Linked DNA regions of Arabidopsis thaliana. The protein of the gene in region 3 interacts with the protein of the main gene of each other region in a pairwise test. Each region holds a gene or a part of one and is shown on either strand. Other genes may lie near its edges. The genes, in order: AGL53, AGL26, AT5G38620 and AGL43.

Region 1 (7,519 bases), 5.9 Mb from region 3:
ATTTCAGGTTTTTGGTTTAAGAAATTTGCATGTTTTGGTTATCTAAGTGGCATGTTTTGGCTTGAGAAATTTCAGTTTAGTTTAGTTTTCTCTTCTTACCCTAAGTTTAGTTTCAGTTTCAAGTTTGTTTCAGGTTTCTCTTCTTACCCTAAGTTTAGTTTCAGTTTCAAGATTTGAGTTTAACTTGGTTAAGTTTATGTTTTAGTTTGGTTTCAGGATTGAATTCATATAAATCAATGTTATTGTTTCAAAAAAGTCTTTCAATTAGTCGGTCTAACCTTCCTAACTTGGCACACATATGACACTTCAATATAATGTTCAGGTTTAACGTTATCATGTACCCTTTATTGCAATACTCAAATCTTCAAGAATCGGGTAAAACGAGATAAGCAACTGTATAGCTTCATTATTGGCGTATATACGTAGACAAAACTCACTTAGGCATTGTAATCTGCAAATTCATTGGCATCAAATATCCAACAAAGCCAGAGTTTTTCCACCTCTTGGACAAAACACTACTTTTAACAACATTTTTTGTTGGAAGCTGTCACCAAAGCATCTGACTCATCAAAGTTGGCTTCTCTGCATAAATTATCGACATCTAACCTTCAATATCTATTGTATATTAAAAATCTGAACATAGCAGGTTTTCAAACTCAAATATAAGACTCAGACAATTATAGAAGAAGCCAAGACTGTTTTTAGAAACTTGAGAAAATAGCATTCATACTTGGGAAAACATACAATTCAATACAAACTCGTAATCAGGCACAAGAAGAGACAGTTAAACTCATAATCTAAATGAAGAATACATATATAATAGATCATTATAAAACGTACACCAAGTCAAAGATCAGTTTTTGGAACAACAAGAACTAATTATAAGGGAACATCATTGGATCTGCAAACGACGGTGCTTGATTCCATGCCGCAAACTGATCAAAGGGGACAAGTGGGGTTTGTGTCTGCATCTGAGGAGGAAAAACCATGGGAGGAAGATCAAAGTTACTTCCTAGACCAGATCCTTGTTCCCCAAGTAAAGCCGATTGGTCAAAGCTAGAAACTGAGTCAGGGACTTGATAGAAGCTACGGTTGTCATGGTTATAGAGAAAGACTGAAATTCTGCTCTGATTTTGACTCAATGATGACGTCGATAGGTCTTGCTCTGTGTTTGACACACCACTCATCAATGGTTCTGTCCATTGTTGATGACGATGATCCTCAATTAGCGAAGGAGGAGGAGACAATGGATTCGTTGTGGAAGAAACCGCACGGGTCTGACCAAACTCGGTCTGGTTTTTCTCGGGTTGGAGTAACAGAAGCTTATCTTGTAGTACTCGTAGACCACTTTCTAACGAATCCTCCATCTCTAAGACTTTCTCCGACAATTTAGTGTCGTCGAGGATCTTCTTACGTAGAAACAGAGAAAGGTTGGTTCTTTTCTTGCATCGCTCTCTCTCGTGTAATCTGCTAAACCTCTCAGCCATGTCTCGAACTTTTGATTGATCCTCCGGCCATGTCTTGATGAGTTTTCCGTCACGACCATAGTATATGACACAGACATCGATGTTGCACAGAGTTGAAAGCTCCAAGGCTTTCTTGAACATGGTCTGTTCTCTCATAGACAAATTCGTGGTCTTTTTTGCAGTAGAAGAAGAAGACAGGGACGATTTCTTGAAACAAGTTTGGTTTCTCACAGACAATTTGGTTTTCTTCTTCGTCGACATTGAAGAATCCATTGTTGTTGTTTACCCACAGAAAAAGAAGAAGAAGATACCTAGTTTCTTATCAGAGAGAAACCTAGAAAATAAACTTAGTGTAACTAACACACGGTTCAGGGTTATATAGAATTGTGAAATTCTTGTATTTCCATATAATATTTGATATTGATTTTACTAAACCAAGAGAGACAAATTGAGCTGTGGGTTTTATTTCCTTTTTCTTTAGAGTATCTTTTCTTCGTTAAATGATGATGATTTACTTCTATTAATCTAACCGTTGTGATATTTAAGTAATGAAATTCCCTTTTTGTTTGCTGTCTATGAGATAAATCTTAATTAGATACGATTTTCCTTTACCAATATCAATGTAACCGTTGTAGATACGATCTTAGATACGATTTCCCACATCCAGTATCTTATTATATAAAGTATAGTTTTTAAAGTTACTAACTCATAAGATTGTGGCACGTGTCAAGTCTAATAATGAGAAGTTTATATGTGTCATTAAAGATTTAACTTTTTAATTTTCTTAAAAAAATAGAAAACCTTAAAAAGAAAAATTTACATATATTAATTTCTTATTATATAAAGTACAGTTTTCAAAATTACTACCTCATAAGATTGTGGCACGTGTCAAATCTAACATTGAGATGTTTACATGTGTCATTAAAGATTTAACTTTTTAATTCTCTTAAAAAAATAAAAAACCTTAAAAAGAAAAATTTACATATATTAATTTATATATATCTAACAATATTTAAACTTTATTTTTCTTAACAAAAAAGAAAATTAACAAATTTGAAAACACATATATTATTGGTCAATTAAATAAATAATCATGTATTAATTTAAAAGAAAAATCATTAAGTATGAATAATAACTAATTAAAAAGACCACTTAAGTTTAAAATAACAATATAATTTATTTAAAATTAATTTAATTGGATAAAATTGTGTTTATCATTGTAATATAGTGTTTTCATTTGTTAAATTTTGAACACAAAAATATTTTTAAAATTTAGTGACCTTATTATAATAAATTTTTAAATATTTAAGATTTATTCTAAGAATTTTAACGTATTCGGTGATTGAGCAACTTGGATCCTTTGATATGTCACTAAAAGCTTATAACTATGTTTTATTGTAAAAAATTTAACGCATGTAGTCATAAGTTAAAACACAAGATTTTTGGAGAGAACAACTTATATGATTTACTTTTCAATTACTTAAAAAGAAGTTAGTATATTTTTTAATTAATTTTAACTCATTTAAAATAAGTTTACATAAGAGAAAATTACGCCATATATAAAGAAACATTTTAAAAAGTTTTGCTTTTCAAATATTTTTGTGGATTTTTTTTTTGTTAAGTTTTGTTTACTGTTTATTATTTTTTTAATATCAACAAAGATATATATTAGATCTGATATAAATATATTTTTTTAATAAAAAAAAATTCACTTAAGATGAAGTGTTTAGAATGAAAATCGAGTATATTATGATGAAATAGATACTTAAATTGTATTGCAAAATTGAATGTGTAAGATAGAAATTTGTAGGTTATTATTTAGAATTCAAATATCATCAATAAGCTTGAATGTGTAGAATTAAAATGTATGATAAAAGAGAATGTATAAGCATCAAATTTTGTTAAATAAAAAAATATTAAATTAATTGTCAAAAAAAATATAAATTACTATTTTATTATTCAACATTTGAATACTGTCAATAAAGATTTACATCTAAATCACACACCCGCCTATTTAGGCGGCCTTATTAGTTTTTTATAAAATAGTCCCAAATTTTAGTTTTAAGTAAACACAAAGAGGAATATTTATACTCTTCCGAGTTCGCTGACATATGGTAAAATGGGCCTTCGTTTTCTTTTATCCGCCTTCATTGTTGGGCCCTAGCCCAGTTGTTTTTTTTGCGCAAAATTAATACATCGATGGGGATTGACTCTTGACGCTGTCGATCATCACTATTCACTAGCACTAGTAACAATGAACAAGTCATTGCTTACCTGCAGAATTCATTTTCCACGATCAATTTAATTTGGCTGGACAAAATACAACGTTTTTTTTTCATGTTCCCTGTACGTAACTAAAAAGTAAGACAAAAGGAGTGGAAATGGACATTATTCAACGTAAAGACTTTTTAAGTCGTTGCGTTTAACGTGAAAAACGCCTCGGAGGGTCAAGCTGTGTTGGAATTATCTTTGTGGAATAGAGTCTATTATTTTTGTATATAAAGAGATGGGCATGAAAACATGTTACGTACCATCACAATTTCCAGATTTTATTTTTTTGCTTTTTCACTATCAATATTCAAGAAAATTAAATTAGCTTAAGAATGATGGAAGGCTTTTGGAACTCAAAGAGTATCATTCGTATTACTCTCTCTTTTATTTTCTTATTCATTTGTCATTTTCTGGACGTGCTTGCGGCTCCAACTAGGAACTTGTGTCGTCCCGAACAAAGGGATGCACTCCTCGCGTTCAAAAACGAGTTTGAGATTGGGAAGCCTTCTCCTGATCATTGTAAGATTTATGGCATTGAATCTCCTCGGAAGACGGACTCATGGGGGAATAACAGCGACTGTTGTAATTGGGAGGGAGTCACGTGCAATGCCAAGTCCGGGGAAGTGATCGAGCTAGACCTAAGCTGCAGCTCTCTCCATGGCCGGTTTCATTCCAACAGCAGTATTCGAAACCTTCATTTCCTAACCACTCTAGACCTTTCATTTAATGATTTTAAAGGTCAAATCACGTCATCAATTGAAAATCTTTCTCATCTCACCTATCTCGACCTTTCTTCTAATCATTTTTCGGGTCAGATTCTGAATTCAATCGGAAACCTTTCTCGTCTCACCTATCTCAACCTTTTTGATAATCAATTTTCGGGTCAGGCTCCATCATCAATTTGTAATCTTTCTCATCTCACTTTTCTAGATCTTTCTTATAATCGGTTTTTTGGTCAGTTTCCGTCTTCTATCGGAGGTCTTTCTCATCTCACCACTCTCAGCCTTTTCAGTAACAAATTTTCGGGTCAGATTCCATCTTCAATTGGAAATCTTTCTAATCTCACCACTCTCGACCTTTCTAATAACAATTTTTCGGGTCAGATTCCATCTTTTATTGGAAACCTTTCTCAACTTACCTTTCTCGGCCTCTTTAGTAACAATTTCGTTGGTGAAATCCCATCTTCTTTTGGCAATCTAAACCAGCTGACCCGCTTATATGTTGATGACAATAAGCTCAGCGGAAACTTTCCCAATGTCCTACTGAACTTGACAGGGTTGTCACTTTTATCACTCTCCAACAATAAGTTCACAGGCACGCTTCCTCCTAATATCACTTCACTATCCAACTTGATGGATTTTGATGCAAGTGACAACGCCTTCACCGGAACGTTCCCTTCTTTTCTCTTCACCATTCCTTCTTTGACTTACATTCGTTTGAATGGTAACCAACTCAAAGGCACTCTTGAGTTTGGAAATATATCTTCACCATCTAACCTATATGAGTTAGACATTGGCAACAACAACTTCATAGGACCAATCCCTAGTTCCATTTCCAAATTAGTCAAACTTTTCCGACTTGACATTTCCCATTTAAACACCCAAGGCCCAGTTGACTTTAGTATCTTCTCCCATCTCAAGTCACTCCTAGATCTAAACATATCCCATTTGAACACCACCACTAGGATCGACTTGAACTATTTCTTATCATATTTCAAAAGGCTCCTTTTATTGGATCTCTCAGGCAACCATGTTTCGGCCACAAACAAAAGTTCAGTTTCAGATCCTCCTTCGCAATTGATACAATCTTTGTACTTGTCAGGGTGCGGTATCACTGAATTTCCAGAGTTCGTAAGAACCCAACACGAATTGGGGTTTCTAGACATTTCCAACAACAAAATCAAAGGTCAAGTTCCTGACTGGTTATGGAGGCTACCAATCTTGTACTACGTGAATCTTTCCAACAACACTTTAATCGGTTTCCAAAGACCATCGAAACCTGAACCATCTCTGCTGTACTTGCTTGGCTCCAACAATAACTTCATAGGCAAGATTCCTTCTTTCATATGCGGGTTGCGTTCTCTAAACACACTCGATTTATCTGACAACAACTTTAATGGTTCAATCCCTCGTTGCATGGGACATCTCAAGAGTACTCTTTCAGTTCTAAACCTTCGTCAGAATCATCTTAGCGGAGGTCTTCCAAAGCAAATATTTGAAATACTGAGGTCTCTTGATGTCGGCCATAACCAGCTAGTGGGAAAGCTACCAAGATCTTTGAGTTTTTTCTCTACTCTTGAAGTTTTGAACGTGGAAAGCAACAGAATCAACGACACGTTTCCCTTCTGGTTGAGTTCTCTACCGAAGCTACAAGTTCTTGTATTACGCTCCAATGCATTCCATGGACCAATACATGAAGCCACATTCCCTGAGTTGCGCATCATCGATATATCACATAATCGCTTCAATGGAACTTTGCCAACAGAGTACTTTGTGAAGTGGAGTGCTATGTCATCACTTGGAAAAAACGAAGACCAGTCTAACGAAAAGTACATGGGATCAGGCCTTTACTACCAAGATTCAATGGTTTTGATGAATAAAGGTGTAGCGATGGAGCTGGTACGTATCCTCACAATCTACACAGCAGTCGACTTTTCCGGAAACAGATTTGAAGGAGAGATTCCAAAGTCCATTGGTCTATTGAAAGAGCTTCTCGTGCTCAGCTTGTCAAACAATGCTTTCAGTGGCCACATGCCTTCATCTATGGGGAACCTGACAGCTCTCGAGTCATTGGACGTTTCTAAGAACAAGCTTACAGGAGAGATTCCACAAGAGCTAGGGGACCTTTCGTTCCTTGCGTATATGAACTTCTCTCATAACCAGCTTGCAGGCCTAGTACCAGGAGGCCAGCAATTTCTAACGCAAAATTGCTCTGCCTTTGAAGATAACTTGGGACTTTTCGGCTCTTCTCTTGAAGAAGTTTGCAGAGATATTCACACGCCAGCATCACATCAACAGTTTGAAACGCCGGAAACAGAGGAAGAAGACGAAGATCTGATTAGTTGGATAGCAGCTGCAATAGGATTCGGACCTGGTATTGCCTTTGGTTTGATGTTTGGATACATACTCGTTTCCTATAAACCAGAGTGGTTCATGAACCCTTTTGACCGAAACAATCGTAGACAGAAAAGACACAAAACAACTCACTAGAGAGGTAATGTTCTGACTCTTAAAACGAATTAGTTAGCAAACATTAGAATAAATTACGTGAACAAACTTTTGAATATAGGTCCGTAATTGATACCGAAATTTGTGAAATATCTCTTTGATCTTTCGTTTTCGCACACAGCACCCAGAAGCAATCGAAAATCTGTTTCGGTGATTAAACCGCTGAAATTTTTAAAAATGTAAACAACTCTTATGTTTGGAATTTGGTGCTTTCTTATAGGCACAATCCTAGGGTGTCCAAAGATAACAACAGAGAAGGAGGTATGAGAGAAATGAAGCTCATATACAAAGATCTGCATTTATGGTTTAATTTGTTTTGTCTAAGAACTCTCAAATGTCTAGTTAATACCTTTCATTTTGCTTGTGAATAAGTGAACCATAAGTACATTTGGAGTGATATAAAGCTTTTAGTTTAATGGCAATGTAAGTTTCATGTGATAGTTAAAACCAAACCTTTTTACGGCGAAGAAGTAGAACGATGGAAGTGAGTTCAAAAAAAACAACCATATATACTAGTTTCTGTGGTCATATACAAAATCATGTTATAGAAAACAC
Region 2 (8,592 bases), 6.0 Mb from region 3:
AGCCTTTTATAGGAAACCATAGCAAAAGCAATTGAAGAAAAAATTAGCGGTGAGCAACGTCGTTACTTGCTAAATGAGCAGCTCAAGGCTATAAAGAAGGTATTACTCAGCCCGCTTCACAAAATATGCTTGCTATTTTCATCCACATACCATGTCTGTGTAATATATATACATATTTGGTTTGATTCATTTAAGTCATCCAATGCAGGAGCTTGGTGTGGAGACAGATGACAAATCTGCACTTTCTGGTCAGTACGAACTTAAAGTCTTAAACTATCTTCAATTACATGTAGTCAGTTTATATCCTAGTTAGAAATTTAGAATTTCACTGCCTCATGGATCACAATGCATTCATGAGACGTCAGTGTCTTTGGTATGAGTTTGGAGAGCCGTGCACTGTTAATTGTATGACAACCACAACTTATAGTCTGTTCTTTACTGCAGCAAAGTTTAAGGAAAGGATTGAGCCTAACAAGGAAAAAATTCCAGCGCATGTATTACAAGTCATAGAAGAAGAGCTTACAAAGCTGCAGCTGTTAGAGGCGAGTTCAAGCGAGTTTAACGTGACGCGTAACTACCTTGATTGGTTGACCATATTGCCTTGGGGAAATTACAGGTTTTTTACTTTTCATATATCTTTTTTTTTTTTTCTGTTTAAGTAAAGCAGTAAGTCTTTTGGTATGAGAGACTGATATAGAGACGGATGAGCTCTCATCTCATGGCACCATTTGTTTTTGTGTTCACTGATTTGAGGAATCTATTTTGTTAAATTTGCAGTAATGAAAACTTTGATGTTGCACGGGCGCAAACAATTCTTGACGAGGATCACTATGGCTTATCTGACGTAAAGGAAAGAATACTGGAATTTATTGCAGTGGGAAGACTTAGAGGCACTTCACAAGGTTTGATACTTATCCAGTAATTGTGATTTGATCTTGTTGAAAAAAACTTGTCCCCTTAAATTTGAGTAAATGTGTCCCCAGGGAAAATCATCTGCCTCTCCGGCCCTCCTGGAGTAGGCAAAACTAGTATTGGGCGGTCTATTGCACGTGCTCTTAATCGCAAATTTTTCCGGTTCTCTGTTGGAGGGTTAGCAGATGTCGCTGAGATCAAGGTATAATACCTTTGTTTTGGTATACTTGCAAATATTAGTCAAACATTTGTGACTGAATTCTTTCCTAGAAACAAAAAACCATTCTTGTAATTACATGTTTAGGGGCATCGTCGGACATATGTTGGCGCCATGCCAGGAAAGATGGTGCAATGTCTAAAGAGTGTGGGGACAGCAAATCCTCTTGTTCTAATCGATGAGATTGATAAGGTAATATATTTTTTGTTTTGATATTTGTCATCATATGGTAGCTTCTTTTATTCATCAGTACAATACTGTTTCAATCTCTAGTTACCAAAGACAAATTTCTCTGCAATAAATTGCTATATTGTTCCTTTGCAGCTGGGGAGAGGCCATGCTGGTGACCCGGCCAGTGCTTTGTTGGAGCTTCTGGATCCAGAGCAAAACGCAAATTTTCTGGACCACTATCTCGACGTTACTATAGATCTATCAAAGGTAATTAAATGTGGTCAAGGACCAAATTTTGTATTTCTTTTCTTCATGATGTTCTGTCCACCAATAGATGGATATGAATACCATTTTGTTTCATGTGATACTAGGCCGATTGAATTTAATTGCTGATCCATTTCCCTACAGGTTTTATTTGTGTGCACAGCAAATGTGATAGACATGATTCCAAATCCTTTGCTAGACAGAATGGAGGTGATTTCTATTGCTGGGTATATCACTGATGAAAAAGTTCATATCGCAAGAGACTATTTGGAAAAAACTGCACGTGGAGATTGTGGTGTCAAGCCTGAACAGGTCTCACTTTCATCCTATTCTCCAATTGTCTCTTCTTTTAACTCTCGGTAAATTAAAATGAGTGAGTGATTATCAATGAATCACATACTTCTAAGATTTCGTCAATTTGTTCGTACTATGCAGGTTGAGGTGAGTGATGCAGCGCTTCTTTCCTTGATAGAAAATTACTGCAGAGAAGCAGGTGTTAGGAATCTCCAGAAACAGATCGAGAAGATTTACCGTAAGGTAAGTTTTGCTACAAGACTCCGAATTGATTCCTCAAGCCCTCAATGTCGAACACCATTTACTTTTCTGTTGTAGATTGCACTTAAATTAGTGCGTGAAGGAGCAGTCCCCGAAGAGCCTGCAGTTGCAAGTGATCCTGAAGAAGCTGAAATCGTGGCTGATGTTGGCGAATCCATAGAGAATCATACTGTCGAAGAAAACACTGTGTCCTCTGCTGAAGAACCAAAGGAAGAGGCCCAAACCGAGAAGATAGCTATTGAAACGGTTATGATTGATGAGTCAAACCTTGCGGATTATGTAGGAAAACCGGTATTCCATGCAGAGAAGCTCTATGAGCAGACACCGGTAGGTGTTGTGATGGGTCTAGCTTGGACATCAATGGGTGGTTCAACATTGTACATAGAGACGACTGTTGTGGAGGAAGGGGAAGGTAAAGGTGGCCTGAATATAACGGGTCAGCTCGGTGATGTGATGAAAGAAAGTGCACAAATTGCTCACACAGTCGCCAGAAAGATCATGCTAGAGAAAGAACCAGAGAATCAGTTCTTTGCAAACTCCAAGCTTCATCTCCATGTTCCTGCAGGAGCCACTCCCAAGGATGGTCCAAGTGCAGGCTGCACCATGATCACATCTTTACTATCACTTGCCACGAAGAAACCCGTTAGGAAGGACCTTGCAATGACTGGAGAAGTCACACTAACCGGAAGAATTCTTCCTATTGGTGGGGTAAGTAACTCCGGACTTCTCTCACTCTATTCTATTAGAGCCTCTCTTTTTTTTTCCTTTTTTGACAATGTACACAAAAATGTTACAGGTGAAAGAGAAAACTATAGCGGCGAGGCGGAGTCAGATTAAAACAATAATATTTCCAGAGGCAAACCGGAGAGACTTTGATGAGCTGGCAGAGAATGTGAAAGAAGGGCTTAATGTTCACTTCGTGGATGACTATGGAAAGATCTTCGAGCTTGCCTTTGGCTATGACAAACAAGAAGACTGAGAACACACATAAGCCACGTTGACCTTTTGTCATCTGTTGTTGTCTCCATTTAAACAACACTACCATTCTTGATTCTCTTTGATCTTTTTCTTCCTTCAAGAAGAAAGTTATTCTGTAACTTTTTTTTTATGATTAGGGTAATTTATTGGTGGTTGGATTTTATTATTTTGGTATATAACCAAAGCCAAATATCATAATAAGACATCAGAACAAAGTAAAAAAAACAAAGTTGTTTCTCATTTTGTGCTTGTAATTTCATCAACATATTCGCGTATTACTTTCACTGTTGCTATGTGTTCGATCACACTTCATAACAGACTAGTAACTTGTTGGCATAATTTTCTGTTTTATATTCCTTTCTACTGGATTAGATGATGGGTAATTTGACTATTAAACTATGTAATGAAATGTATATATATTCTTAGTTCGTACTCAGACAAAAATAGGATTGAGAAGATAGCATTCATACTTAGGAAAAACATACAATTCAACACAAACTCTTCATCAGACAATTAACCTCATATAATCTGATATCTGAAGTAGAAACAGAGGCACGGACTTGATAGAAGCTACAGTTGTCATGGTTATAGAGAAAGACTGAAAATTTGCTCTGATGTTGACTCAATGGTGACGTCGATAGGTCTTGCTCTGTGTTTGACACACCGATATTCACCAATGGTTCTGTCCATTGTTGATGACGGGGATCTGACCTAACTCGGTCTGGTTTTTCTCGGGTTGTAGTAACAGAAGCTTATCTTGTAGTACCCGTAGACCACTTTCTAATGAATCCTTCATCTCTAAGACTTTCTCCGAGAGCTTACTGTTGTCGAGGATCTTCTTACGTAGAAACAGAGAAAGGTTGGTTCTTTTCTTGCGTCGCTCTCTCTCGTGTAGTTTGCTAAACCTCTCTGCCATGTCTCGAACCTTGGATTGATCCTCCGGCCATGTCTTGATGAGTTCTCCGTCACGACTATAAAGTATGACACAGACTTCGATATCGCACAGAGTTGAAAGCTCGAGGGCTTTCTTAAACATTGTATCTTCTCTCATAGACAAGTTTGGTTTCTTCTCACAGAAAATTTGGTTTTCTTCTTGACATCGAAGAATCTATTGTGATGTTTTGTTTACACAGAGATAGGAAAAAAATTAAGCTTTTAGCTTGTTCTCAAAGAGAAAATAAACTCTGAAGGAGAGAATTGGGATACAGATACAATAGGGTTTAGGGTAGTGACTCCTTCAAGATGAATATGAATGCTTACCAACCACCAATGGCTATGCCTCTACGTCTCCGTCTTCCTTTTTGCAACCATCCAATGTATCAAGCAAAGATATCCTCTGTCAACAATGGTTCTTCACCATTCACACAGCCTTGAGGTGCACACTCGATTTGCTCATAGTTAAGTTGTCTGGACGCTTCATACAGAGCAATCCCTACACTCACCGAAAGATTCAGACATCTCACATACGTTTCTACCATGGGAATACGTAGGGTCCCCCCTCCATATGGTTCGTGATTGCAGTCTGACAGCGCTTCAGGAGGTAGACCGCTTGTCTCTGACCCGAACAAGAGGTAATCGCCTGATCGGTAAGAAAAATCCTGCATCAAGTTGTAACCATTGTTTTCAGCTACCCAATTGCTAGTGATTGTTGCTATTTCTGGTTGGTAAACAATAAACTAGAGGTGGAAGGACAAGCAAGCAACTTACTGAATGTATCCTTGTTCCTCTTTTTGTAAAAGCTATCATTCGTTTTTCTCCCTCCTAAACCAAAGAGAAATATCAGACACCACACACACATAGGGACTTTAGCTACTCAAGGACAAGTGGTAAACCTGAAGCCTGAAATATTCTTGAAACTCAGCCCATGAGCTATGCGCTTTGACAACCACAAAGCTATGCTTTAAGTTAAGAAGAAGAAGAGCTAATGACAGCGACTAAACCTTAACACAAAAACAGTGGGGTAAACTCTCATTTCTCAATTCCTATGTAGTAGACAAATTAGGTAGGATACGGCCAATAATCCAAACCAGCTCGCTTAACTCTGGCGTCATCCACTTGAAAACCTAATGGCTGAAGCAGGAACAAATGACAGATTAAGTCATCAACACTGGAAATAATGAACAAGTCGTGTTTGGTTACTTTACCCCGACTAAATGCAGACCAACAGCTGAGGCAGCACATGTTCTTGCAATGCAACCTGTATTCCCAGGAATCTGTCAAGGAGAGTATAAGTTGTTTAGATCCATCAACATGTACTAAGAAGACCAAAGGTAGCAGTGAGAGTGCAAACCTGAGGAGAGACCAAAACTACATGAAGCAGCTTACTCCTCGCATCTTCCTTGACTCCTTCTCCGGCCCCTCGCGGCAGGGGATTTTTCTTATCTGACTCGCCTATACCAACTCCTCGGAGAGCATGAGACTGAATCTTGGAGGAAAACGAGTTGATGGAGAGAGATAGCTTGCCCTTGAGATGAGTTAAGCTAAGAGAGGGAAATAGACGGCCACTTGACCGCAGATGAAACGTCCTTGAAGCTATGACGCTCCGACAGCAACTCTCCATTCCCTCGCCTCCCTTCTCCGCCGCCCGCAGATTCCACGACGTCAAATAAGATATTAATCAATTGGGCCGGATACTTTTAGGCCCATTCAATACTATATCTAATCGCTAAAGATGAATTGGGTTAAGGGTACTACTTCAACTTAAGTAGTGAAAGTTGACATGTTAAATTCGATTTCCATATTTTACATTTTGAAGAAAACATACAATCGGGTTATATAGAATTTTTTAAATTCGATCGATTTCCATATTTCATACTGATTTCCATATCTTTTCTTCATTTAATGATGAAATCTAAAATTAGATCCTATTTCTAACCGTCGTAAGGTAATTATTAATTAATTAATTAAGGTAAGCAAAAACCCTTAATTATTGTCTTCACATTGAAGAACCCATTGTGTTGTTTACACACAAAAAAATAATAAAAAAATATAGCTCATCAAAGAGAAAATAAACTCTGATAATTATGTAACACGGTTCTGATATTAATCTAACCGTTGGGGTTTTTCAATAATTGTAGTAAAAACTCCTAATTTTTTTTTGAGTCACGGAGAAATTAAATTTAAAAGAGTTCTACAATTTTTTTTGTCTATATAACCTTTTTTTGCTAAATTTCAATTTGAACCAAAATACCCCTACTTTATATTTTAAGCATTTTTGAAAAAGTTTGACCTTAATAACATGTAGATCTACAAGAATATAGTTGATTTGTAAAAAAAAAAATTGTTATTTAGTTAAACAAAAATTGATTTTTTGATAGATAAAATTTTGTCTAAATTTTTTAGAAAACGATTTCTAGTAATCTATTAAGTTTAGAATTTCTATTCTAATATTTTGTACATATTTTACAATATTTAGACTATTTTTCTTTCTAACAATCTTAGAAAATAGGATATTCAATATCTAAAAATTGTAGAACATGTATTCTAAAATTCCTTCATGTTCTAAACTATGTGTGAAATTGTATTCTAAGAATTTCTATAGTTTCTGAAAACACTAGAACACGTTTTCTTAGAAATTTTCACTTTTAGAATTTATATTTTAACCCAAATTAGTTTTTTGTTTCTAAACTATTTAGAATAGATATAAAAAGTGAATCTTTGAAAAAAGAAAATAAATATTTATTAGATTTGAATTATTAAATCTACATGCAACTAAAATTAACAGCTCAACATGCAAATTGCAATTGACACTTCATGAGACACAAAATTGAGAGAAAAGACTAAGAACCAACCAAGTGATTCTAAGAACTTAACAAATCGAAACAGTTCTTAGAGATGAGACCTGTGAGGGAAGAGAGCGGCGGCGACACCGTTCTGAAGGCGGACTTTGGCGGTTTTGGTGGCGGAGAAGGAAGGGAGGTTGAGATGAGTGGTCACGACGGTGATGAAGAAGATTCAGGTGACTTTGGACACGACGACGCCGACCACAGAGAAGGCAAAGAAATCGCCGGCGACGACGACAACAGAGATGGCAAAGAAATCGCCTGCGACATGTGGAGAGTAAGTTCGCCCGAAAAAAAATTATAGAGCTGAATGCTTTTTTTTTTAATCGAGTAAAGGAGGAAGAGAGACAAAAGATAGGGTTTGTGAAAGAGTCTAATACATTTAGAGGATTTAGGTTCTCAAAATTTTACTTTAAACTAGTATTTCTTTTGTATAAATAGATTAGGAAATTTTAATTATAAAATAAAATGAGGGTAAATAAGACTTATTTTTTTTTGAAAAACCTATTTGATTAATTTATAAGAAAAAGAAATAGATGGACAATTTATTTTTAGATATCCTCTAGATTTAATTTCCCTCATAAAAATGCTTTGTATGTTTGATATCATAGAGAAAATCTAAATTAGATCCGATTTTACAAATATCAATCTAACCGTTGTAGTAAATGTAATTACTGATAATTAATTTAAGGACAGCAACAAAAAAGAAAGGGAATGTGACATTATTAGGCATTTTGTGAGAATCTTTTTACGTTTGAGGCACTTATGAGGGAGAAGACACTTTGCCATCTTTTTGAGAGGAGATTGGACTAATTTGCCCCTGAAGTGGTGAAAACACAATAATTTTTAAACTTATTTTTAATAAGATCGTGTGGGTGAGAAACTTTTTTTTTATATCATCTATCCCTTCCATATTCTTTTGTTTTCATCATTTTCAATCCCTCTTTCAAATCATAGTCGTTCTCAATAATTTTTACAAAATTATGAAAATTCTGAGGTTATCTCAAAATTCACAATCACAATCTATGTTTACCCTAAATTTCCTTTATTTTTTCAGTTTTGTATTTTTTTTTCTCCATTCTCCGTCATCAAATCCATTTCATTATCTGCAGCCTCCATCAATGAACGACTGTGACCAACAAAAAAAAGTAACATCATCGATTTCTCCTTTTCGAGATGAAGAAGAAGGAGATCCTTACTCTCTGCTACAAAGCTCCCTCTTCCCTTAATCTCCCTCTTTTTCTGGTTCCATGTTCTTCTCTCTTGTCTTACTTATGGTTTCTGGTTTCGTTGTTTTTTTTTGGGTAAAAGGTTTCTTTGGTTTTGAATCATAAAGGCCAATGTTACATGTTATTCGTTGATTCTAGATTAGGCTTTAGATTGTAAATCTTAAAACTTTTTTTTTATGTTATGTGTTCTTAATTTTATGATTTTATCCTTCAATTTAAATTTATATTTGTTAGATCTGTTGAATTTGTTGCCTTTGTTTTTGAATTGAAAAATGTTTGGATGTCATTTGCGTAGACGGAAAGTGATTGGACGCATAAGGCTGGGTATGTGGTGGTTATGCAAGAAGATTGGTTGATGTTTATGAGCTTTTTTTGAAACTTTGGTCCATGAGGCTGCGCTGGCCGCCGTGAGTTCCAGTGTCTTGTCTGGCAACTCCATACTTATGTCGACTCATGGATGTCAAGAAAAGTTTATGAGAAAACA
Region 3 (8,092 bases):
CGATATCAGTATCATCTTATACCGCCTTTGATTTTGTTTTACCTTACATTGGGTTTCTTGCTTCTTTACCTTTAGGTGATCCAAATGCTATTTCAGAAGTTCATGGAAGAGAAGACATAAACTATTTAGATGGCTTGACCAACAACGCAAACCTGCAGTTTTTGAACTTGATGTAAGCTTGTGTTTATCGGAGAAGTGAAACTATGTTCTGTTAATACTAATCCTCTCTGCCACTAAACTCGTTTGTGATTTTTCTAATGACAGGTATGATGCTACACCTTCAGATTACATTTCCATGATAATCACAGATTATGGCATGGTAAGATTAACCATCGTCTCTTAAAAACATAGCATTAGGTTCCTGAAGTCTCAGACCTATAAAATACAGTTTCTCCACTTATTCAGAATCTCAAACCATTGAACGCAATGTTTTCGTTTTCAGGTACCTCCCACAAGTGTGCCTGTCATCGTGAGAGAATATCAGAAAGAACACTTGCTTGTCTAAGCAAAGCTCATTTTTGCGAAAGCTCTTCTTCTCCAACCCCCTCCTCTAGCTCAGGCTCTTCTCATCACAACCCAGATAGAATAACTACCGGCACTGCCTCCCCTCATCCGCTTCTTTTCCTGAGTACCGGGTTCATTTTTTTTGGCCTTGACTTGTTTTTAGAAACTTTTGACTCTGTGAAGAGTGCGATTCATCATCCGCCTCTCCGGGAAGATTTTATCGATATCGGTGATGTTTTTCTTTGTCTGTGATGTATGAGTGAGGCTTCTCTTACTCTCCCTTCTCATGGAGGTTGATACAAATCTTTCTCAGATTCTATGCCAATTTTTGTTGGGTTCAGTCTTCAACATTGGTTACACGTGTTCTCATGCTTTACTTGTATTACAGTCATATATGCACTGCTCGTTAAATCAGTTCAAAAAGACTCAATTACATCACAAATTGTCTCTTAAATAAACAATGTTTCGATAGGTCGAAATGTTGAAAGAGATCTTTTCGAGGGTTTACTCTATTGTGTGAGAACTTGATCCTTGCCACTGACCGGAGTAACCACACCGAGTATCACGAAACCGCCAAGAATAAGGATTAGAACGCCCATTGTGTTGACTAACATTGCCTCTGTGGAATACCGAGTTATCACTTGATTCACTTGCAGGAACGTCACCTTCTCAAGTATCCCTGTGGTTGCAGTCACCAACGCCAATGCATATATGGAAATCCCTAAGAACACATGCCATGGCATCAAACTGGCTCTGCTGTTTCTTGAACCACCCGGGTACCAATAAGTCACAAACCCTGCAGCCCACTGTTTGTAACAATAGATTTGAGTGAGTTCTTGATATTTATTCTTACTGAGTAATGGAGATTGTTATTTTAAAACAAGTCAGAACAGAGAGTGTACCTGGAATGCAAAGAGAAAGAGGCAAGCAAGGCCGAGCCACGAATGGAGACTGTAGAAATTTTCGATCCCTTTGTCAATATGGAACTTGAGAGCAGCCCACACTCCGATCAGGCTTAGAATAAATGCTGTGAGTTGTAGTGTAAGATGAACCAGTTTTTTCAAGTTCTTTGTACCTTGAACTGACTTATATGCTAACATAGCTGCATAAGTTGAAGGTACCGTTCATGTTAGAAACGAAAACATGTCCATGGTCTCTTTACCGAATTAACAATGCCGTAACTAAAAACAAAAAAAACTAATCCTATGAGTCCTAAACCTCTTGACATAAAATTTCAATGTACTCAAATGTTAAAAAGGGCAATTCAACAGTTCAGTCTCTTTGACAAATGAAGTATGCGGAAATCGAACATGAAAACCGATACAACGAATACTAAAACCTCTTGACATTAGAATAGTCGCCAGACGGTAATATACTACAAATTTGAAGTCTAAAATATGAAGTTAAGACGGTAATATACTACAAACTCTTAACATGTGAAGGAGATTGTTTGCTTACCTTCTCCATTGAAGAGTATGAGTCCAATCACCATCATCACTGGATGAACCTAAAAACAAAGACATTTGACATCATCAGATATATATCTACCAATGATGACATTATACATCCAAATATGAGTCTCAGATCATAGCTTGTGATCACACAGAAAAGTAAAATCCAAATTTCAATATCTCAACAACACAATCAAGAAATATGAATCTCAGATACAGCAACAAGAACATTTCATCCAATCCATTTCACATGTGAGTCAAAACAACAATCGAGAGAATTACATTAAAGATGTGATCTTTGTTATCAGAAGAAAGAGCTAAGCCTCCTCTGTAATGAACAGTCCATGTCAAAACCAAAGCCGCGATGATGAAACCCAAAACTCTCACTACCATGAAGATCGGAAATCCACCCAGCACCGGAACCGCCATACTAAGCCCAGAAAATGCGAGTCTTTTATACGGCGATCAAAATCAGGATGAATTAGGGCTAGGGTTTTAGTTTTTAGTCGAATTTTGGGGATTTCTGAATCACCCCCTGTGTTTTAGATCGGCAATTACTCGACTTTGAGTTTGAGGTCAACCAGAGTGATTTGCCAGAAATATTATTTTTATAAGATTTTTTAATTATTATTAGTAATTTGATTTAAGGGTAAAAAAATGGAGCTTTGTGTCACTCACAAAACTGATTAGAGTAAAGATCTTTTGTTTATGTCTACTTTGCCTATTTTTATTTTTATTTTGAGAGAATTACAATGACACACACCCATAGATTTTTATTTCAGAGGCAAAACAGTATTGATTAATATTGAATAGTAAAAAAGATGAAATTCTCCAAAAGTATCTCTTTGTTATGAAAAATAAAGAAAGTGTGGCAAAGTGTAAGTCTTCCGGTCGTTAACAATGTTTTCTTCTGCTACCATGTAAGCTTTGTTAACTTCATAATCACATTTTAAGAGTGATACTACATTGTTGATCTTGTGATTAGAAAGAATAAACACGATAATGTGAAGAACCAACTATATATTTGTTTGTGTCTCTCATAATAATCTGACAATTTTTTTTTTGTAGAATCTAAGAAAATAATTATAAAACAAAATAACTAAAAATATCGCTAAATAAATATGAATGATAAGAAAATAACTAAAAATTATCAAAATAAAAATAAATAAATTATCTAACGTTCTAATTAAATACTACACTAATAAATAAATACTAAATTTGTTTATAAAATTAATAGTAATATAAATAATTTGGAGGCAAAATTTAGTTATTTTATAAATTTTGTTTTTAAACTATTAAAAAGAGTCTTAGGTAATTCTTTTTTTGTTTTTTTTTGTTTTTGTGTGGCGAAGGTCCATAGAGCATAGTTGAAATTATATATCTATTCTTGTCCATCTTTGAATAATTTATCATCAATAATGTTATGCTTGTACATAAGCAAATAAGAAAGGATGAAAAAAAAAAAAAAAAGGGGATTCTGGTGGATGGTTAGGCTTAGCCCATATTACGGTCCATGTGGTTTAATCGGTTAAGGAGGATGATATGGGGTTTCGATATTTCCTTTTTCATATGAGATTCGATAGTCCCTTATATATATGAGACTGAGAGATAGAAGAAGCCTTCACTTCAATTATCTGAAAATTGAGAAAAAAATCAATCAGAATGGTGAAAGGCACGAAGAGAAAGATTGCGATTGAGACGATACAGAAGAGAGATTCCCTTAGGGTTACCTGCACCAAACGCCGTAAAGGTCTCTATAGCAAAGCCTCTCAGCTTTGTCTTCTCTCCGACGCACAAATCGCTATCTTAGCGACTCCTCCTTCTTCTGAATCCGACGTCTCTTTCTACTCTTTCGGTCACTCCTCTGTTGATGCCGTTGTCTCTGCTTTTCTCTCCGGAAAACGTCCTGTTTCGGCTCCGAAGGATAACAAAGAGACGAGGGAGGACGTTGGTATCTGTTTGACTCGCAAGAATCTAGGGTTAGGGTTTTGGTGGAATGACGAGAGCCTTGTGAGATCGGAGAATCCTCAAGAGATTAGTGAAGCGATCGGTTCCATGTGGACTCTGTTGAGTAATCTCAAGGAGTTGCGTGCGGATGAAGCTTGCGTTAACGATCACAAGGACTTGAAGAAGAATGAGAAGAGCGATGTTCACGGAACTCAAGATCAAACCCTAATTTTTCAGTCCGCTTCTGCAGTTTGTTGCATCCCTGAAAATCTCAACGATATTACTCAAGAGCCAAATCAAACCCTAGATATTCAGTCCAGTAGTTCTGCAATCTGTTGCGTCCCTGATAAATCACCTGAAATTTTCAATGAAATCACTGAAGAACAAGATCAGATTCTCTCGATTTGTGAAACTTTTTGTGTTACGGATAATAACAACAACAACAACAACAACGCTGCTTTACCTGAAGTTAACCTATATTACAATCAAGACATGGCTATTGATCAACTCATTGACTTCAACACCCCTTTTGAAAGCTCGATAGATGATTGGTTTTCGGACAACACTACTCATCAGGAGACGACTAGTGCAAGTATTTTGAACGATGTTGGTGTTGATGATCAAGTCTCGGTGGATACAAATCCGTTTTCTTATTTTCAAAGCCTTGAAGATGCAGATTTGGTGTTTCAGAGATGTTTGGATGGAGATAATCTACGATTCTCTGATTGTTTCAATGACTTTGCAAACACTATTGCAGCAGTTTGAAGATAATCTCTCTGCAGTTTTCAAATCAACTTCTCTTTGTTATCTGTATGTATTGATTCTATTAGAGATTTATTTGTTCTAGCAATGTAATGAATGATCTGGTTTGACCTCGATCAGTTTTCCATATATGTATGAGGGAAATTGATCGAACTCAAACTGGTTCTCTGCTTCATCAGTTTGGTTTAATGATAATATTTGTGTTCTGTTTCTATGTTTTGTATTTGTAGTTTTAAGTCCAACAAACTCATGTCTTTTTATAAATCTTAATCGGATAAAAAAAAAGGAAATGTCTTTAATTTATGGCAAAATTGGTAGCTAACCAATGAGTATGATAAGAGAATCAGGTGAAATTTCGATTATATACATAGAGTTAACCAACTGGTATGCAATTGTATCATTTACACATTCTACAAAGAAATTGCCACTGAATAAACTTCAGGTTCCTCTGTTTCATTCTTAAAGTCTCAGAGTGGGGACCAAGATCAACATGATACAAAGTGATCAAAGCTAGATTATGTTCATTCATGCATGTCCTGCATACATTATGTTCATTCATGCATGTCCTGCATACTCCGATGCATGCATTGCAATGGTAGAGAAATAGAATGCCCTTCACTTTCCTCTTTTTAAATGCCTTTCAATCGAACATAGTCATCACTATTCAAGTAACACATTATCCAATGATATACGCTCTTTTTCTATAACTTAGATTCAAATGCACACCAATAAAATTGATCATATGACATATACAGCTTAAACAAATATTTTGTTTTAGGACCTAGCTAGATTAGCTTGTTAGGACCGCAAACAACAAATATACAGCTTAAACAAATAATTTGTTCTCTTACGACCGAGAAAGAGAGGACATGACCACGACCTTTCATAGAGTCATCTCCAGCAGTTTCGACGAGACCATAAGATTGAGATTCACATTACTTGCGTCACTATCGACAAGTATACAATTGAGAGACGGTAAAAAATAATTATACTTTATTTTTTTTCATCTATGGATACTATGGCATTATTTATGCTCTATAAAATGGTCTACGGTGACACAAGTAATATTAACTACTGCCGAGCAACTATGTCATTGTCAACAATGCAAACAGACCATGACTTGTTCATTGTGAAGCAAGTCATCCATAACTATCCTCAATGTATGACCTAACGAGGAAACTATATGAGAGAAATAGTAATTAAGTAGAAGATGCACAAATAAATGAAAGAATGAGAAATGTGGGAAGATACTTTTTTGGATGTATTCAGTATTTTTATATAATATCTCAATTAAAATACACATCTTTGCTGATCTTCAAACTCGAATACATGATACCTTATAAACTTGGGAAAAATGTCAATTTATTAATATAATTTTTTTTTTTGAGTAACTATGAAATGTATGTATTATAGAAGTAAACAAACTATTTTTTAAATCTTTCTATTACAAAATTTTGGTATATTTGTGGTGAACCAAAATATTTGTTACAAAAATTGATTATTTTTTCGTACAAAATGATTCCAACAACATTAACACTGGAGGAACAAAAGATATAAACAATGTAGTTTTTCCTTTAAATTTGAAGTTCATTTCAATATAAGTTTGAACTAAAATAACTAAATAATTTAAGAAAGTATCCCATTTAATTTAACAGTTAACATATTGCCTAAGTAAAGTAGATTCTTGAGGAGCTTGTCGATTTTGTTGTAAAATCCGTTACAAAATGAAAATCAAATTGTTCACAGTTAGTTGGAATTTTTTTTGGTTCACAGTCAATAATAAATGGAGAGTTATAGTATATATTTGGATCACTATTACTGAATTAGAAATAGAGTACTGATTGGATAATTTTAATTATAATTTCGTATTAAAATGAGACATTTACATTTGTCTAAATCGGAACTAAAGAAATACTCCAAAATAAAATCAAACATTTACATTTGTCTAAATTGGCGTATTAAGTTTATACGTATATTTGAAATGGAGAAAAATGTAAACGTAAAGAACGGTACTATCTTCCAATTGAAACTTAACTAACCTAGAATAAAATTTGAAGCAAATTTTTCACTTTGAATTTGCAATCAATTTTCAAAAGTAACTGTCCATGCAATAATGACATTTGACAACTTCTTTAATTTTCTTCTAAATTGCATTTAAGTATTTAACGCAGAATGTTCTCATAATACCGAACTAATTATATTGCTTGAGGAATACATTTGTATTAGAGTAGAAGCAAGTGAAAACCCATTGTTGATGACACTTTACTCAACCATCTTTTTTTTTTTTGAACAACAACTCAACCATCTTAAATAGTCAAATATTCCCACAACGCAAACGACGTCGTACGTATACATTCATCTCTCTATATATCAACCAAACAAAAGAATTAAGAAGAATCTCATAACTAGAAAAACAATGAAGCTCTCTCAAGTCTTCTACATTATCTTCTTATTCTTCCTTGTCTCACAAGTAAAGTCAACGTCCGATATGATCGACCAAACCTGCAAATCTTGCGCAGCCAAATCCACGATCTTCGATTACAACTTCTGTGTCTCCTCTCTCAACAACTCTCCAATAGCTCTTCCTTCTCCGACCAATCTTTCTTCTCTTGCCCTTGTTCCAATGCTCCAAGCTCTCGACAACGCCACCGCAACAGCTTCCACCATTCAACAGCTTCTTATAAGCGACGACGACGGTAGTTTCCGCAGTGCTTGCCTCCGTGACTGCCTCGAGCTTTACGAGGACGCGACGGATAGATTGGAGGAGGCAGTGAGAGTTTTTATTACAAGGAAAGAGTTAGGTACGGTTAATGTGATGGTAAGCGCCGCCATGGAATCCGCCGTGACTTGTGAGAATGGATTCAGGGAAAGAGACGACGGTGACGGTGGTGGTGGAGGTGTGACGACGTGGACGTCTCCTATTGGTGATGAGAATCACAAATTGTTTGAGTTTGGTCAGATTGCTCTTTGTATATTCAATATGCTCTCTTCTTCTGTCACATCTCTATCTTTCTAAATCGTTTTCAATCTTTTAGCTGTTTAGGCTTTTGTTTGTATCGAAAACGACAAAAGGATAAAGATAAATGTATTAATGTTCACAAATAATGTGTTTATATCTTTGTGTAAACATTTCCAAAACATCAACTAATAAGAAACATGAGTAACTAACTTTCCATTTTAAGAAGTGAAGACATACCCAAAATAGTAAAACCTTAAAGCTTCGAAAGAAACTTGGAAGAGGAAATTAAATCTAAAACATCTAAAGTCTGATAACTAGAAGAAAGCTTCCACTTTCATGGACATGATACAACAGCATAGAGGGAAAGAGAGAATGTAGAAAAAAATTGAACCCTAACCTCCACATACACACATACACAGCTAAAAGTCTCACAATTTATCTCCTGCTGCTTAATCTATAAGACCAATCA
Region 4 (7,625 bases), 610 kb from region 3:
TCATTATTCAGCGCGCTTACCCACACATGGGGTCTGCATCTGAAGGGTCCGGTATACATATCCTTGTTCAGGCCATTGTCTATTGCGATTGCAGTCGCCATGGGTGCTATATTCCTCGGCGATGCACTTCACCTTGGGAGGTACCATCTCTTTTATCTTCTTACTTTCCAGCGTATTCAGAATATTTTATCTGTACTGAGAAATATAGTACTCAGCTCTTGGTAGTTGAAATGCTTAGTATGATGTATCTATCTATGGAATCACATTTAGAGAGTTATATGGTTTCTGGATTCTATTCTACATGAGCTCTCATATATGGTTTCTTCTGTATTATTTCACATGTGAGAAACACTTAGTCTCCACAATTCCACTGTATATCTCTGTGTAAACTGCAATAAGCATTTTGAGACAGTAATAACGTATAGAAGTTTTGCATATTTTGTGTTGGGCAGTGTCATTGGATCAATGATATTGTGCATTGGATTCTACACTGTGATTTGGGGCAAAGCAAGAGAGGATACAATCAAAACTGTAGCTGGTTCTGAGCAGTCACCTTTGCTGCTTACACATATCATAGAAGATGGAGCCTTTCCATTAAGCTAGGATTGATGCAAGTGAAATCCTTATACTATTTATTAATAAATATGGATCCCTAAAAGAGGTGTACCATATATGTCTATAGTTACATATAAGATATCTGTTCTTTTTTTCTTGTTTTATTTTGATGTTACATATGAATGAGAATTATGAATCTATAAGAAATATTTGGTCCTTTTAATTATCTTATCAGTGCGTTCACAACCTTACATAAGTTTCTGGTAGATAAATCCCTGCCCTCTTTGAAGAGTAAAAGAGGTAGAGCTCCATGGCCAAATATTATCTTTCTAAGGTATAGAGCTTTCTTTGTAGATGCGTAGTTTCTTGATTTGGAAGATCCCTGATTATCTGGATCGGATCCTTCATGATATGTATTTTAGTTGAATTGTAACAATGGTGTAAAGTATTGGTTAAGTTGGTGTGAAGTATTGGTCAATGTATATATTAGTTGTGACAATGATGTAAAGTATTGGTCAAGTTGTTGGAGTAATTTATCTAAATAAAATAATTAGCAAACGTGAGGTGATTAACCACTATGATTTCTTATAAACTCACGTTGACTTCTGAGAATTTTTGAAAGTCTGACATCAGATCTATGACAAGAGGAGCAGGAGGGGAGACAGTGGCATGGAGTTACTTTTGCAGAGATGTTGTGCCGTTCACTGCAATGGTCGCGGTGGAGTGTGTTACGGTTGGATCTAATACACTGTTCAAGGCTGCGACATTGCGAGGATTGAGCTTCTATGTCTTTGTCTTCTATACCTATGTTGTTGCTACACTTGTTCTTCTTCCACTTTCCCTCATTTTTGGAAGGTACTGATCTCTTCAAGTACTCTTGACCAGTATAAAAATTTCAAGAATGTGAACATAGTTTATGTGCAGGTCAAAACGATTACCTTCTGCCAAGACCCCTGTCTTCTTCAATATTTTCTTACTTGCGCTTGTTGGGTAATGATATACTCCTTATACTACCAGATTTAGCCTCATTTACCTGTTTTTCTTTTCTAGTTTGCTAACTTTTGGGAAACAGGTTCATGTCTCTGATAGTTGGTTGTAAAGGTATAGAATATAGTTCACCAACTCTTGCCTCTGCTATCAGCAATCTGACACCAGCTTTCACATTTACGCTCGCCGTTATCTTCAGGTTCCACCTCTTTTTCTTTCGTTTCCGTTCTGGGATAGTATATAGATAATTTAGTTAACAATGCGGTAGTTCCACACTTATTTAACCGTTCAAAGTTTTAAGCCTTTTGCTTTTGTCACAGCCACTAGTACAAGTACAACCTTGTGGTTGCATAAAAAATGTTGTGCCCACATGTTGTTCTAAGAGACAGAGAGAAATATGGGTAAACTAGAGGGGTGTTTGTTTCTATCAGCTGAACATTTAACTCTTGTTGTTACTGCTTCCTTGTGTGACTCAAAAGAATGGAACAAATAGTCTTAAGGAGCTCCGCGACTCAGGCCAAAATCATTGGCACGATAGTATCTATATCTGGTGCTTTGGTTGTTATTCTTTATAAAGGCCCTAAAGTTCTAACTGATGCATCTCTTACACCTCCATCACCTACCATTTCGCTTTACCAGCATTTGACTTCATTTGATTCGAGTTGGATAATCGGAGGTCTTTTGCTCGCTACACAGTATTTGCTTGTTTCAGTCTGGTATATTCTTCAGGTATGAAAAAGGACATTGGATATGTTGGTGACACTTATATAACTCTTGCTAAATGTGGTAGCTCTATATGATTTCAGACTCGGGTCATGGAGTTATACCCTGAAGAAATAACTGTAGTATTCTTGTATAACTTATGCGCTACGCTTATCTCGGCACCAGTATGTCTATTTGCGGAAAAAGACTTGAATTCTTTTATACTTAAACCGGGTGTCTCCCTTGCTTCAGTCATGTACTCGGTGAGAATCAATCCTAATATGTTGCTTCAAGTAATGATTATATTTTAAGCTCAGAAACTAACACTCTGTTTCAGGGAGGCTTAGTTTCATCATTTGGCTCAGTTATACACACTTGGGGTCTGCATCTTAAGGGTCCAGTCTACATATCCTTGTTCAAGCCGTTGTCTATTGTCATTGCGGTCGCTATGGGTGTTATGTTCCTCGGCGATGCACTTTACCTTGGGAGGTACTTTATCTTTCACAATCTTCATAAATATCACACACAACATATTATCTAATATCTAGGTGCCATAACATTCAGCTTTAGTGCCATGTATCTATCCATGGAATTACATTGAGAGTTATATGGTTTCTGGTTTTAATTCGTCACAAGTCACACTTAGCCGCCATATATAGTTTCTAAATATTTCTTTCGAGACAGTACTAATTATCCGGCATATATATTGTGTGTAGTGTCATTGGATCATTGATTTTGAGCTTAGGATTCTACACTGTGATTTGGGGAAAAGCAAGAGAGGATTCAATCAAAACTGTGGCTGGTACTGAGCAGTCCCCTTTGTTGCCTTCACACACCATAGAAGAAGAAGCCTCATTAAGCTGTGACTGATGCAAGTGGAATCTGTTAAGAGATGGTCCCCATTGATGTTTACGTATAGCTACACTACATTGTACATATGGTAATTTTGTATGTTTTTCTTTCTTGTACTATTTCAAGTTAAGGATTTTTAATTAATGTAAGACGACTGATATTGCCAGTTAGGAAACCTTCTCTTATATTTCCATTTTATCAACAACCCTTAACGGCTCTAAACGCAAAATCTATGCAAATATATGGAAATCGAATCTAAAAAAGCGCACACACACATATCTTTACGCGTTTTTTCACCGATCAGCGAGAGTGATAAATATTTTTTCAAACCCTAGTGATCAAAATATATCTCTAATTCACACAGTTTCCTTCTCACTTTCTTCATCTTTTTCACAAAGCCGCCAAAGTTTGTCTTCGTGTTTTCTCTTCACTCTGAAACAGAAAGTTTGTCTTCGAAATCAACAATAATGACTATGCGATCATCTTTACCTTCTTCCTCTTCCGCTTATTCACTCGCTTCAACAAGTTTGAGCAACAGACTTGAGACCATCTTCAAGAAAGCTTCAGAGCTTTGCACTCTCTGTGATATTGAAGCCTGCGTCATCTATTACGGACCAGACGGAGAACTCAAGACATGGCCTCCGGAGCGAGAGAAAGTGAGAGACATTGCTCTTAGGTATAGTCAATTAAACGAAGCATTGAGACGCAAGAAAAGCGTTAATCTTCATGGGTTCCTGAACAAGAAGAAGAAGAACAAGGGTTTGAAGAATACGGACAAGAAGAGGAAGACGAGTCTTAAGAAGGTGAATGTTTTAAAGTATCCACTCGCTGATCATTACCCTCCCGACCAAGTTTCTCCACTGATTCAGTCCTTGGAACTCCATGTCTCTAAATTCCACGAAAGGCTTGAATTTCTTGAGTCGCGGAAACAGAATGAGACACAACCGGATCACCACAGTTTAGCATCATCCTCTCTGAATCATCAGACCCAATCTTTGAACCCTAGCCAGTTCTCGCTGTTTATGTATAATCATGGAGACAATACTCTGTCTCAGATCCCAGTCTCTGCATCAAATTTCAATCAGGATTATTTCTCAGCGTTACTTGAACAATCTGAGTTGAAGAATCAGTTAATGAAGCAGGAGATTTGTGGTAATGATCAGAATCAGAACATGTGGATGGGTAACATCACCAACAACAATTTTCAACTTCCTTGCGTCTCAGTACAAGAATCTGTGAACAACTTTGGGTTGATGCACAAGGAGTTTTATGGTTGTGATCATAACATGTCTGTGGGTAACATCAATAGCAACAGCTGTGAACATCCTTGCGTCTCAAGCACACAACATTACTCGGCGGTAGAAGAATCTGTGAATAACCCCTGGTTGAATCAGTTGATGCAGAATGAACTTTATGGTTACGGTTATGCAGACTTTTGTTAATTTCTTATGATTAATTCTGTGTGTCTAATGTCTTGTTCTTAGGTGTGTTGTTGTTCTGTATTCAGCTAATATTGTAATAAATTTTGAATCATCATCCCTAGAAACATTAATTACTAAAAGCCAGTCTTATGATCTATTTCTGATTTCTCTCTTATGCATAATAAACTCAAATTTCCAATAGAGACTCTCAACAGAGCAATAACTGTGTATGTGTGTGTTAGTTGTATAAGTAGAACTAAGCATATGTGTTCCATTGGGAAACACCAGTTATATGTTATAATAATCTGAATTATCTCCAGCTTTTTTATGGTTATTAGTTGGATAGTATGAAGCAGTACATGCACTTTCACTTTCCATACAGGTAGCTGGTTGTAAAGCTATTGAATATAGTTCCCCAACTCTTACCTCTGCTATCAGCAACCTCACACCATCTTCCACCTTCATACTTGCCGTCTTCTTCAGGTTCCACCTTGTTTCTTTCCTCTCTGTTTGTAGAAAATGAACAACCGAGTGGTTCCACGTTAACCATACAAAATATATGTTTCTGAAACAGTAACAATCAAATATGAAACAATATCAGAACACAGACAGTAACTGTCAAATATGAAACAATACCAAAATGCAGAAACATTCTCATGCCACTAATTGTGGTTGTACTAGTACAACCTTGCGGTGATATCAACATGTTAGCCTATCATTCTTTCCCGAGAAACTTCTGATGGATATGAGGATTTTTTGTGACTATCAATTTTTTTATCTGGTGACTTATAAAGGATGGAACAAGTAACACTAAGAAGCTCTGCAAATCTGGCTTAGATCATTGGCAAGATAGTATCGATATCTGCTGCTCTGGTTGTTGTTCTCTATAAAGGCCGAAAAGTTCTTGATGCTGCATCTTTTACTTCATTCGAGTCAAGTTGGATAATTGGAGGCCTTTTGATCACTTCACAGTATTTGCTTGTTTCAGTCTGGTATATTCTTCAGGTACATATACTTGGAACTGATTCATGAATGAGATTTTGGGTTTTGTTGGTTACACATAAACTTAAGCTAAATTTGGCAGCTGTACATGATTTCAGAGTCAGGTCATGGAGATCTACCCTGAAGAAATAACTGTAGTCTTCTTCTACAACTTATGTGGAATGCTAATTTCACCACCAGTTTGCAGAAAAAGACTTGACCTCTTGGCAGCTTAAACCGGATATTTCCTCGCTGCAGTCATATACTCGGTTAAAGTCAAACCTTTTATAACCTGCTTCAACTACTGACTCTTATCTTTAAGCTCAGAAACTACCACTCTGTTTCAGGGAGTATTTGATTCATCATTGTGCTCGGTTATACACACATGGGGTCTCCACCTGAATGGTCCAGTGTATGTATCCTTATTCAAGCCGTTGTTTATAGCAGTTGCAGTCGTCATGGGTGCTATATTCCTTGGCGATGCACTTCACCTTTGGATGTGCCATATCTTTCAACTATAGCGTCTCTTTCTTGAGAAACATAAGTGATATAAACTTAGTTATCTTAGTTATAGGTTGTTGAAATGTTTAGTCTCATGATCTTCATGTTACTATGTTGCATCTCTGTGTTGTGGACAGTGTGATTGGATCAATGATATTGAGCTTTGGGTTTTATACTGTGATTTGGGGCAAAGCAAGAGAAGATGCAGCCAAAATAGCAAGTCTTTCACAGCAGTCACTTTTGTTGCCTAAACACAACAAAAGAAAATGAAACCTTACCATGAAGATATGTTAGATGCAAGTGAAATCCTTTAATTACTTACTTTTGGACCCATTAGAAGATGGTTGGTCCCTGTTTATACAGAGCCAGGGTAAATAAGAATTTAGTTTTAGCTTCTCTTCTAATTTCTTGGATTCATCTATTGGTTTTGTACCCATTTGAAGATGGTCCTGGTTTATCTTGTCTATCTATCTATCTATATAGATGTCACATGTTTATACGTTTTGTAATTATTTGATGATGTTTGATGAGGATATATACATCCATCTATAATTTGTTTGTCAATAACTTTTTGTATGTAAAAATGAAATATGAAACGTGTGTTTTAATCTAGCCACAACATGTGTAGGAATCCATTTAATTACAATTTTTCAGAGACCACATACATTTCATACCCAACAAATAAATGTTTTTTCAACCAATAAGAAGACAACAATTAATCATTTATTTGATGGAGACTGTTTCACATGTCTTTTCCCATCAAGATCCCATGAACTAATAATATATACAAATTTCAGAGAGACAGAGGCTTAGAAGAAAGAAGAAGCCAAGAACTAAAAAATGGTTCATGGAAGGTTATGTAACAGAGATGGCTGGATCTTGACGGCGATGGTGGTGACAGAGTTTTCTAACGTAGGAGTAAACACTCTGGTCAAAGCAGCGACGTCCAAAGGACTTAGCCCATTTGTGGTTCTTGTATACTCTTACACTTTTGGATCTCTTCTTCTTCTTCCTCTTACATTCTTCTCCTTCAGGTTCTTCATTCTCACGATTCTGTTTCAAGTTTTATGTTAAGTATTAAGTAATTTTTCTTACATAGACTTATCTCTACAGATCAAGATCTCTCCCTCCGTTGACATTTTCAATTCTATGCAACATGGGGATTCTTGGTCTAATTGCGTAAGTTACTTTTATTTTGGAAACACTATATCTAGTAGCATTTGCAATGCATATATCTTCCTAGCTAGGTTTCAAAACCAATTATTAGTTGGTTCTTGAATTGCATATAAGTGTGTATTCAAAAAAAATTGTTTTATGGAAGAAATTTCTTACTTAAATTTGTTGTATTTGTACTTCATAAAAAGAACAGAAGTGCGTTTCAAATCTTAGGCTACAATGGGATAAAATATAGCTCGCCGACTTTATCTTCGGCCATGAGCAATGTCAATCCTGCTTTTACCTTCATCCTCGCCGTTGTTTTTCGGTAAATTCTATTTCCCAAATATTTCAAATCATTAATTAGTCGTAATCATTTTTTTGTTTCTTGTAAAAAGTCGTAGCCATTTTAGCTTTTTAATTTTCTTTGCTTTACGTTATAAGATTTTTTATGCTTTAAGAAATCCAACG

The links.
Region 1: the proteins of AT5G38620 (region 3) and AGL53 interact in a two-hybrid assay, tested with the Arabidopsis thaliana proteins (one large-scale study listed by BioGRID).
Region 2: the proteins of AT5G38620 (region 3) and AGL26 interact in a two-hybrid assay, tested with the Arabidopsis thaliana proteins (one large-scale study listed by BioGRID).
Region 4: the proteins of AT5G38620 (region 3) and AGL43 interact in a two-hybrid assay, tested with the Arabidopsis thaliana proteins (one large-scale study listed by BioGRID).

What each region holds. Positions count from the first base shown.
Region 1 is NC_003076.8:9,521,961-9,529,479, reverse strand, and holds AGL53 (AGAMOUS-like 53), read right to left. Parts: upstream 1,740-7,519; coding exon 876-1,739; downstream 1-875. Other genes in the region: AT5G27065 (uncharacterized protein), read right to left, coding at 4,778-4,813, 4,876-5,151; RLP53 (receptor like protein 53), read left to right, coding at 4,070-6,946. UniProt on the Arabidopsis thaliana protein: Probable transcription factor that may function in the maintenance of the proper function of the central cell in pollen tube attraction.
Region 2 is NC_003076.8:9,453,534-9,462,125, forward strand, and holds AGL26 (tRNA (cytidine(34)-2'-O)-methyltransferase), read right to left. Parts: upstream 5,689-8,592; 5' UTR 5,658-5,688; coding exon 5,388-5,657; intron 5,311-5,387; coding exon 5,242-5,310; intron 5,168-5,241; coding exon 5,109-5,167; intron 4,991-5,108; coding exon 4,930-4,990; intron 4,859-4,929; coding exon 4,805-4,858; intron 4,696-4,804; coding exon 4,417-4,695; 3' UTR 4,158-4,416; downstream 1-4,157. Other genes in the region: LON1 (lon protease 1), read left to right, coding at 13-99, 209-248, 445-616, 778-902, 984-1,114, 1,217-1,321, 1,454-1,567, 1,709-1,876 and 3 more; AT5G26865 (AGAMOUS-like MADS-box protein), read right to left, coding at 3,768-4,148; AT5G26890 (uncharacterized protein), read left to right, coding at 6,932-7,183.
Region 3 is NC_003076.8:15,460,433-15,468,524, reverse strand, and holds AT5G38620 (MADS-box transcription factor family protein), read left to right. Parts: upstream 1-3,617; coding exon 3,618-4,667; downstream 4,668-8,092. Other genes in the region: AT5G38640 (NagB/RpiA/CoA transferase-like superfamily protein), read left to right, coding at 76-172, 265-319, 443-505; CYB-1 (cytochrome B561-1), read right to left, coding at 1,014-1,310, 1,407-1,606, 1,963-2,011, 2,238-2,384; AT5G38610 (Plant invertase/pectin methylesterase inhibitor superfamily protein), read left to right, coding at 7,081-7,680; AT5G38600 (Proline-rich spliceosome-associated (PSP) family protein / zinc knuckle (CCHC-type) family protein), read right to left, coding at 8,059-8,092.
Region 4 is NC_003076.8:16,075,303-16,082,927, reverse strand, and holds AGL43 (AGAMOUS-like 43), read left to right. Parts: upstream 1-3,563; coding exon 3,564-4,538; downstream 4,539-7,625. Other genes in the region: UMAMIT40 (nodulin MtN21 /EamA-like transporter family protein), read left to right, coding at 1-140, 453-603; UMAMIT37 (nodulin MtN21 /EamA-like transporter family protein), read left to right, coding at 1,193-1,410, 1,480-1,545, 1,628-1,741, 2,022-2,271, 2,349-2,507, 2,582-2,733, 2,961-3,114; UMAMIT42 (nodulin MtN21 /EamA-like transporter family protein), read left to right, coding at 6,840-7,033, 7,113-7,178, 7,369-7,482.